2 linked regions of the Drosophila melanogaster genome follow. The protein of the gene in region 1 interacts with the protein of each later gene in a pairwise test. Each region holds a gene or a part of one and is shown on either strand. Other genes may lie near its edges.

Evidence for each region. The genes of interacting proteins can lie anywhere in the genome.
Region 2: the proteins of CG13014 (region 1) and CG14194 interact in a two-hybrid assay, tested with the Drosophila melanogaster proteins (one large-scale study listed by BioGRID).

Annotation. Positions count from the first base shown.
Region 1 is NC_004354.4:16,585,981-16,589,474, reverse strand, and holds CG13014 (uncharacterized protein), read right to left. Parts: upstream 1,603-3,494; 5' UTR 1,368-1,602; coding exon 669-1,367; 3' UTR 545-668; downstream 1-544. Other genes in the region: SMC3 (structural maintenance of chromosomes 3), read left to right, coding at 1-135.
Region 2 is NC_004354.4:19,191,894-19,196,556, forward strand, and holds CG14194 (uncharacterized protein), read left to right. Parts: upstream 1-1,661; 5' UTR 1,662-1,938; coding exon 1,939-1,976; intron 1,977-2,054; coding exon 2,055-2,125; intron 2,126-2,530; coding exon 2,531-3,105; intron 3,106-3,165; coding exon 3,166-3,558; 3' UTR 3,559-4,144; downstream 4,145-4,663. Other genes in the region: CG7914 (uncharacterized protein), read right to left, coding at 608-1,555.

The DNA of each region.
Region 1 (3,494 bases):
ACGTTCCGGCCGGAATTGCTGGAGAACGCGCACAAGTTCTACGGCGTGCGATTCCGAAATAAGGTCAGTCACATTGATTGTGTGACCAGGGAGGAGGCCAAGGACTTCGTCGAGGACGACAGCACCCACGCCTAGGAAATTGCCCCGCCCAAAACCTCATCCCTCAACCCACCACAACCATCTCTCGCCCCAATTATTAGTTTCGTAGGCGTACGATTTGTTTTCACATTCTTTTAAATCGTATACATATATATATATATAGTTTTCTTTCTAACGATACTTGCTACATTTAATTTTCCTTAACAATGAGAGTTAGTTTTCGGCTAGGCCGTGCTCGTTGCGTGGAACACTTCGAGCCGGCGAACAAAACCGAGAGTATAGAAACTCCAAGCCCAGATCAATATGTAATAAAGCGCATAGAGAAGTAATTTAAACTATATTTAAAACGAAAATATGTATTAAAAAGCTTATGCAAAAGGAAACCGTCTAATCCAATATAATTCCACACTTTTATGTATGTATGATAACAATGCAATAATTGTTTCGAAATAAGAAGTCTGGTTTATTACTCAAAAAATTGTTCAACAACGTGCATCTTATAATTAAATGTTGGTGTCTTAGAGCTTGGCAATCAAGGCTCCAGTCCCTGGTTGCCCGACCAGCTACTCTCAGCTGGCCACAGCGTCCAGTTGCTCCTGGATGGCATTCAGCGCAAAGATGGTGCTAAAGCACATGCCCACGGTGGCCACCTCCAATTGGCTGATGTTGTAGTGCAGCGGCAGTCGCCACAGGACAAAGTGATTCAGCAGAACAAGCAGGGCCAGGCCAAGTGACCACCAGTGCTCGTCGACGATGGCGATGCGCCAAAGACAGTGGACATTCCACAGAACACAGAGGCCCAATTGCGCGGCATCCAGTTTTATGAATGTGGCACCCAGTGGACTGCGACTGTTGCCGAACCACAAGCTGGTGACTGCAAGTGCCAGTACAGCGCTCCACAGTCCAAAGGCCAGACGCTCCCAGTCGGCGCCGAAGAAGTCACCCATTCGGGTGGCCGGATTTACGGTCTGCAGCTCGCCCACCACCAGGGTGACAAATAGGACGCAGGAGTAACGTCTCGACTTGTCGCACAGCAGACGCTGCACTGCGCCCGGATTGGGATGCGTGTGCCGCAGCAGGCAGAGCAGGCTGTGGCCAAAGTAGATCCCAAAGGCGGCCATCGCCTTGCTGCCGGTGCTCCGTTTCAGACCCCAGCCGGAGATCACGGCCAGGACGAAGTGGATCAGGCACAGGGCTAGCAGGGAGGTGCCACCACTGGACCCCGGCAAGGGACCATGATTCGGAGGAGGACTTCTGTTGGACACCATTGTTTTGACTTGAGAGCGATCACGCCGGTTGCCGGTGATTCCACCTCAAGGTGGCAAATCTTCCGTCCAGTTTGCGGACGGGCGACTTGATTCCTCGACCAAGTTTGTTGCCGATGTAACGGCGGATAAATGATCTTTAGTTAAACTTTATTAAATATTTGTTGCATCAAAACAATAACAAGATTTACGTCAATATTAAATCAGTATCGTATTTCGACATAAGCGTGGATTTTTTAGGTGGTTTCTTTCATCGATAGCGTAAATTCCTCGATAATATAACGGATTCGGTATAAGTGTGGACACAGCCTTGAAATATGCCTTTTTGAATTTGACTGTTCATCCGGATAAATATGCCTCTTGTAAAAGCATACTTGTAATAGGTCGAGTTCTACATAAGGAGAATACAAAAGTTTACAACAGATAGTTGATCAAACATTTCATTTTTATTTAATCAACTAGCATTCACGTGGACAAAAACGTATACAGATGTTATTTTTATATACTAGTGGATTATATAGTAAAATACTTAAGTTTTTAAGATTGTATAATTTCTAATAAGAAAAAATATTCTTATGGGCTTATTTTGATGTCAATGCAGCAAAATGTATGCTATGGTTTTTGAAAAGGGAAGTAATTTTCAGTTAACAATATAACCGTGCATTTTTTCTTATTATTTACGAACCTAAGAAGTCGTGTTTTATTGCATCGAATTAAATTACAATATTATAAGTTTTTAGGTTTAAATTACTGATTTGTTAAAAATTTCAATCCGATTTGAATAAAACTGCTAGTTGCTTTTTGTTCCATCCCTATTATATTATATCCAACTGAGAGTTTTCATATTTCCATACACCGCGAAACGGTCACACCGCACCGCATTCAGTCCAATCGGAATCGCTCCTCGATAAGCCCAGACAAATCACGCCTCTATCGATTTCTTATAAGAAAGGAAAACGAACGAGCGTGTTATCGAGTGCAACATTTGCGATTTGCCCTGCTGCGCGCGTGCACTTTTTATTAATCTCCCGTATAAATCAGATATCCGTGTGCATTTCGAACGCGCTCCGTCAACACACACACAAAAATTAAGTAAAAAGTTTAACACGAATTGCGAATAGCGAAAAAACAAAAGCTTAAACCGTCGAGTGTGAAAATTTCGAGCTAAAAGCAAAACGAAGTTAAGGTAAATTGCAAGCAGTCACTGTTTTTTTTCTCGTGCTATTTTCTACTTCTCATCCTCCTCCATCATCCTGCCCCCTGAACCCCTCCCCCAACATCCTCGACCGCCCCGCCCCCATACAATTGTGCAACACACGCACGCACACAGACGCAAATGGGAGGCTTGGAGCAGTTTCAAACCACCAACAAACACACGCACACATGCCCAGCCACACGCGCGCATATACATATACCGATATACATATGCATACATACAGCTGTATGTGTACATATTCCAATAAGAACGGGCCAAGACGTGAAATGTTTTTTTTTGTTGTGTGTGCATACATACATTAATTGCATTAAACGGGCAAAAAAAATACAAAATATGAAATAAAAAGGAGGAAAAAAAAGCGCAATGTCAATGTCCGCCCATGCCCGTTTCAATTAATTTTCCTGTCGATTTTTGGGCCCGAAAAAAAAGAAGGAAAAACAACAGCGAAAATACGCGAGTGCAACGGGTAAAATAACATGATACACACAGCACATGTGTGTGTGTGGGTGTACATTATATATGTATACATAGGCAACATTTTTTCTCTTATTAGTCATCTTTGGTGTGTGTGATGAAAAGCGATGAAATTTCAGCTGAAGCTGTACGTACATACATCCCCAACAAACAAATTTTTTTCGTGTGCAAAAAACAGCAAGAACAAGTGAAACAAGAATAATTATAACCGAAAAAGGCTGCCAAAGGCAACTGATGGAATGGAAATATCAGTAAAATTCAACAAGAAAACTTTCGTGTGTGCCTATGTGTGTGTGTGTGTGCAAACAAGAGATTTTCTCGAAGAGAGCCGCACGTAAATTACGGCTCTCCTCGTCCTGCGTCTGTGTGCTAGTGTGTGTGAGTGGCAGGACACCAAAAGCTACGAAATTTTCATGCTGTAGCAGCAGCACATAACGGTT
Region 2 (4,663 bases), 2.6 Mb from region 1:
ACTGGGTGTGGCAAAAAAAAAATTGTAAATCGATAGAAATTTACACGACTAATAAAATTATTAAAAAATATCCAAAAAAAATTTCAAAAATGTGGGCGCGGCAGGTTTGGGCGGTTTTAGGGCGTTAGAGTGGGCGTGCCAAAGTTTTTTTTAAATCGATAGAAACTTACACGACTTATAAAATAATTTAAAAATATTTCAAAAATGTGGGCGTGGCAGTTTTGGGCGTTCGAGTGGACGTAGCAAAACGTTGTTTGCAAGTCGATAGAAATTAATGAAGACTAATCAAAATGTGAAAAAATATCAACACATTTATTAAAAGTGTGGTCGTGGCAGTTTTGTGCGGTTTGTGGGCGTTAGAGTGGGCGTGATAGCCTTCTAGCATTTATAGTACCTAAGATCTCGACGTTCATACGGACAGACGGACATGGCCAGAACAACTCGGCTATTGATCCAGATCTAGAATATATGTATATCTTCTGTCTGTTACATACTTTTCAACGAATCTAGGGTATAAAAAATATAAAACCCTCGGTATAACCAGTACGATCACAAATTCATTAACAATATTCAAATATTTATAAGCAACTACAGTTTTTCCCGGCATTTACAACATATAAATGTTTGCCGGATCTACGTCCAATGATTGTGTTGCTATTTGGGCGATGTTCTTTTGAAAACTTGAATCTCCAGCCACGATGAGGACACGCTGTCCGGGAATCGCGGGATTGAGGTGGGTGGCCAGTTCGGTGGCATCTAATCGGGACACCTTTGCCGTCTCCTTGTAGCGTAGATTGTCCCGGAGCTGAGGGCACTGCTGGGCACAGTGGCCCGCCTCCTGGCAAGCGGAGGAGTCACACTGCTGATGCGGCAGGTAGAGGCAGCTCCTGTAGTTCCAGAACTGGGCGAACTCGAGCATCTCCTCGCGGAAGTAGACATGCAGCAGGTCGTGAGCGCACACCAAATGCCACAGGCGACTCATATCCTCCTCGTTGTCCAGCACCTGCCGAACCAGCGGCAGAGTGGGTGCAATAGCAACTCCCTGGGCGATAATATAGATGCACTTGGCCGGCTGCGGTTCGTGTACGTATTGCCCGATGGGACCACGGAATTCCAGCAGATCGTCGGGCTGTACGGCTTGCAGGTGCCGAGACATTGGCCCCTCCGGCTGCAGCTTCACCAGGATACGGAACTCTTTGGCCACAAAGTCGCTCCAATAGGGCGAATACGGACGCAGCAGGGAGCCGACGCGCAGCATCACATGGTGGCCGGGCGGGATGTCAAGCACCGTGTCCACCGCTCCATCGCCGTCCCCCTCCTCTGCTGCATGAGCAAAGTGCAGGAGCAGCAACTGTCCATTGGGTCCCAGCGCTTCCCGCCGCAACAGGCGGAACTTCGTGTAGCTCAGGATCACGTTGCGTTTGCCAGCCAGCAGGACGCGTTTGCTTGGCCGTGGCTTGTTGTCGAGGATGCAGTTGGTGCAGCCATTGCCGCAGCAGTCTGAATCCCGCAGCTGGTCCTCGTTTTCCTTCAAATCTTCCAAATAAGATAACATTTTCCTGTGCCTATCGAGGCTATCGATAGCAGGCTAGCGTAGCCGGAAATCTGGCGAATTGTAGCCAGACATCTGGCTAGTCCTTAGTCAAGCCAATCGCCAGAGCAGGCAAGAGTTATCGATATCGAATCTCGGGACAGAAATGCCAGTCAAAAAAGTGTGTAAATAAAACAAAGAACAGAATATCTACAGGGAAAGGGGTGAAAGATCGGCGCCAGGCGTAGAGTACTAACTGCCCCCGCCCCCCCACTCCATCATAACACACAGCCTTGTTCGGGCGAAGATCGCTTCGTGGAGCGGACGCGGTGCGGCGGGTGCCCACGAGCAACTAGTGTCCAGGTACCAAGTGTCCAGTGACATAGCTCTATGGTGTCCTCAGCAACATGAATCTGGAATCTCTGTTCCGCGACTTCAATCCCTGGTGAGAAGCCTCCGACTGCGGACGACCGGATCACATGGGTTCCCAATCTAAAACATAATCGACCATGTTCCCTTTCAGCAAGTTCATCGTCCACTGCAGCCTGTTCATCTTTGTCACGCTCTTCGCCTTGCGCCTCGACAACTACATTGGTGGGTACTTTTCTGTGGCAGTTCTGGAATACACAACGTCACCCAGAATTAAAATAGCACGGGGATGCAAGAAAATACAATCATATAACAATACAAGCATATACGACCCATACACAAATATGTGTACGGTGCACCATCGCTTCTTCTAGAGAATAGTCCAGATTTATTGTATACAAGGGTTAGCAAGCAGATCATGAGATTGGATATAGCAATATCGAAGAAATCGTCTGACCATAGAGGATCATCCAAATTTGGTCACTTAACGAGGATATTAGTTCTCTCGCTATTTTAAATAACTTATCTAAGCTAAATATTTAGATTTTTAATTACTGAACAAGATTTATTGTAGGGCATTAACCTTATAATTGGCCTAGTAGCCTAGTCTAATCGAATGCCTTATCCCAGATTGGCCCTACTGGGCGATTTTCACACCGCTATGGATATGGAAATGCACCGCCATCCTGGGCGCAATCGTAGGAGCCATTGTGTGGTGTCGGTATCCGCATTATCGTCTCGAGGGCGATGCCTACACGCAGTTCAAAGCGATGCTCATCTCACTGGCCCTGCACCTGATCCTGCTGATGTTTGAGCTGCTGGCCTGCGATAAGCTGACCTCGGACCGTCACTTGTGGGTGCTGGTCTTCATTCCGCTGATCTTCGGCTCGGTGGTTAGTGTGGGCGCCTGTGTCTGGGCCGTCAAGCACGATCGCTCCTTCGAGCTGGAGCTCTTCCTGGCGGTCAACGCGCTTCAGTTTGTTTCACTGCCGCTAAAGCTGGATCGCTTTGTCTACTGGAACTGGGACGTAGTGTTTGTGCCCATGTGGATCGTCATATGCCTGAGCCTGGTCAGCGTATTGTATAACATCATCTTCTGTGGCATCATGATGCGTACGCCGGAGGTCTCGCTGCAGCAGAAGAAGGCGGCATTAAACGCAGCGGTGGGCAACATCTGCACGGTGCTCCCACTGCTCTGCTTTCAGGTGAGACCTCATCTAGTCCCTCCAAAAGATTGTGCATCGCTAACCCATCTATTCCGCCAGGTGGTCATCTGCGACAAGCTGGACGGCGAGCTTAAGTTCCCGTACATCGTGGTCTTCTCACCGCTGCTCGTCTCTATTCTGGCGCTAATAGTTCTTAGCTCCTCGGCAAAGGGCGGCAACATGTGGTGGTTCGGCATCCGCAAGTCTTTCAGCCAGTTCCTGTTGTCCGCGATGCCGTTCCTGCAGGAGTACGGCAACATCAGCTATCACCCGGAAACCCACAGCAATGCTGCACAGTCCATGCCGCTGGACGCAGCGTCCTCCTCGACGAGCATGGCGGCCAGCGAGCAGCTGCACGAGTTCCACAAGCACGACAAGAAGAGCAAGAAGGGGGCCAAGAATGACATTCTCAAGCCGGTGGTTCCGTTCGTCAGCATCGATCTGCCGGACTAGATATAGACGGCCAGTACAGCACAGGAGCAGTACAGGAGCAACAGTAAAACAGCAACATTTACAATAAATCGCAAGAACCGCGTAGACTTAAGGACAGCCTCTTTGCACGCGCACAAGGAGACGCCGCACACCTTTGTTCAGGTGTTTATGTTAGGCATTGTTAAGCATACCCATACCCACTTACACACTCACGTCTCCGTCGTAGCTTTTAGACTTGTACTGAATTTTAATTGTAAGACAAACGCTAACACCGCCCACGAACCATGTCCAACCAACCAACCAACCAACCAAGCACATCGCACCCACCATGCTCCCTTCCACGCATCCGCCTGCATATGATAGCACATATAGCACATACATGCATACAGGACCTGACCACCACACGCTTTTGTCCAGACCCGAATCGGACTCCAACTTGACCACAAATTGAACAGCGCCGCATTCGGAATTTTGACTCGTGTGCTAGTATTATATGTAAAACATCTCTCACACCTTGAGAAGCCCACTTATGTGTAATGACCTACTATAAAGTGTAAATAATTAACAGAGTACGTGAAAACGAGAAATATACTTAAGTGCTTCCATCAAAATGAAAAGACGATGATGAAATGGTTCGAAATTCGTGTGAGTTGTATTTATCTTTATTCAATTAGGAAGCTACAAAGTTTACATATGTATTTCATAGTTAAGTTTTGCATTTCATTTTTAATTAATTCTCTTACGTTGTGTCGCCTAAAAAGTTATGCAAAGGTAAAAAGTTGCATTTTAAAAAGTGACCATCCATTTGCCGGACAAAATAATTGAAGATTAGCCGGTGAGCGGTATATATAAAGCGCATATATATATATATATATGAATATATGAATATAGTCTGCAACCGGATCGGATGCGACTGGAAGTACATATTCTTGGGGGTGTGGGAAAGAGAGAGTGAGGCACATAATCGGAAATGGGGAATCGAAATGGAGCGGGACAGAGTTATACATTAGTATAGATATAGTTAAAGTGGGCTAAACGCAGGCCGTGTAAGCATTAACAATAATTCAAATACAATATATATCTGATCGATCGCGAGGTGCAACTGGCAACTTAACTATTGCATAAC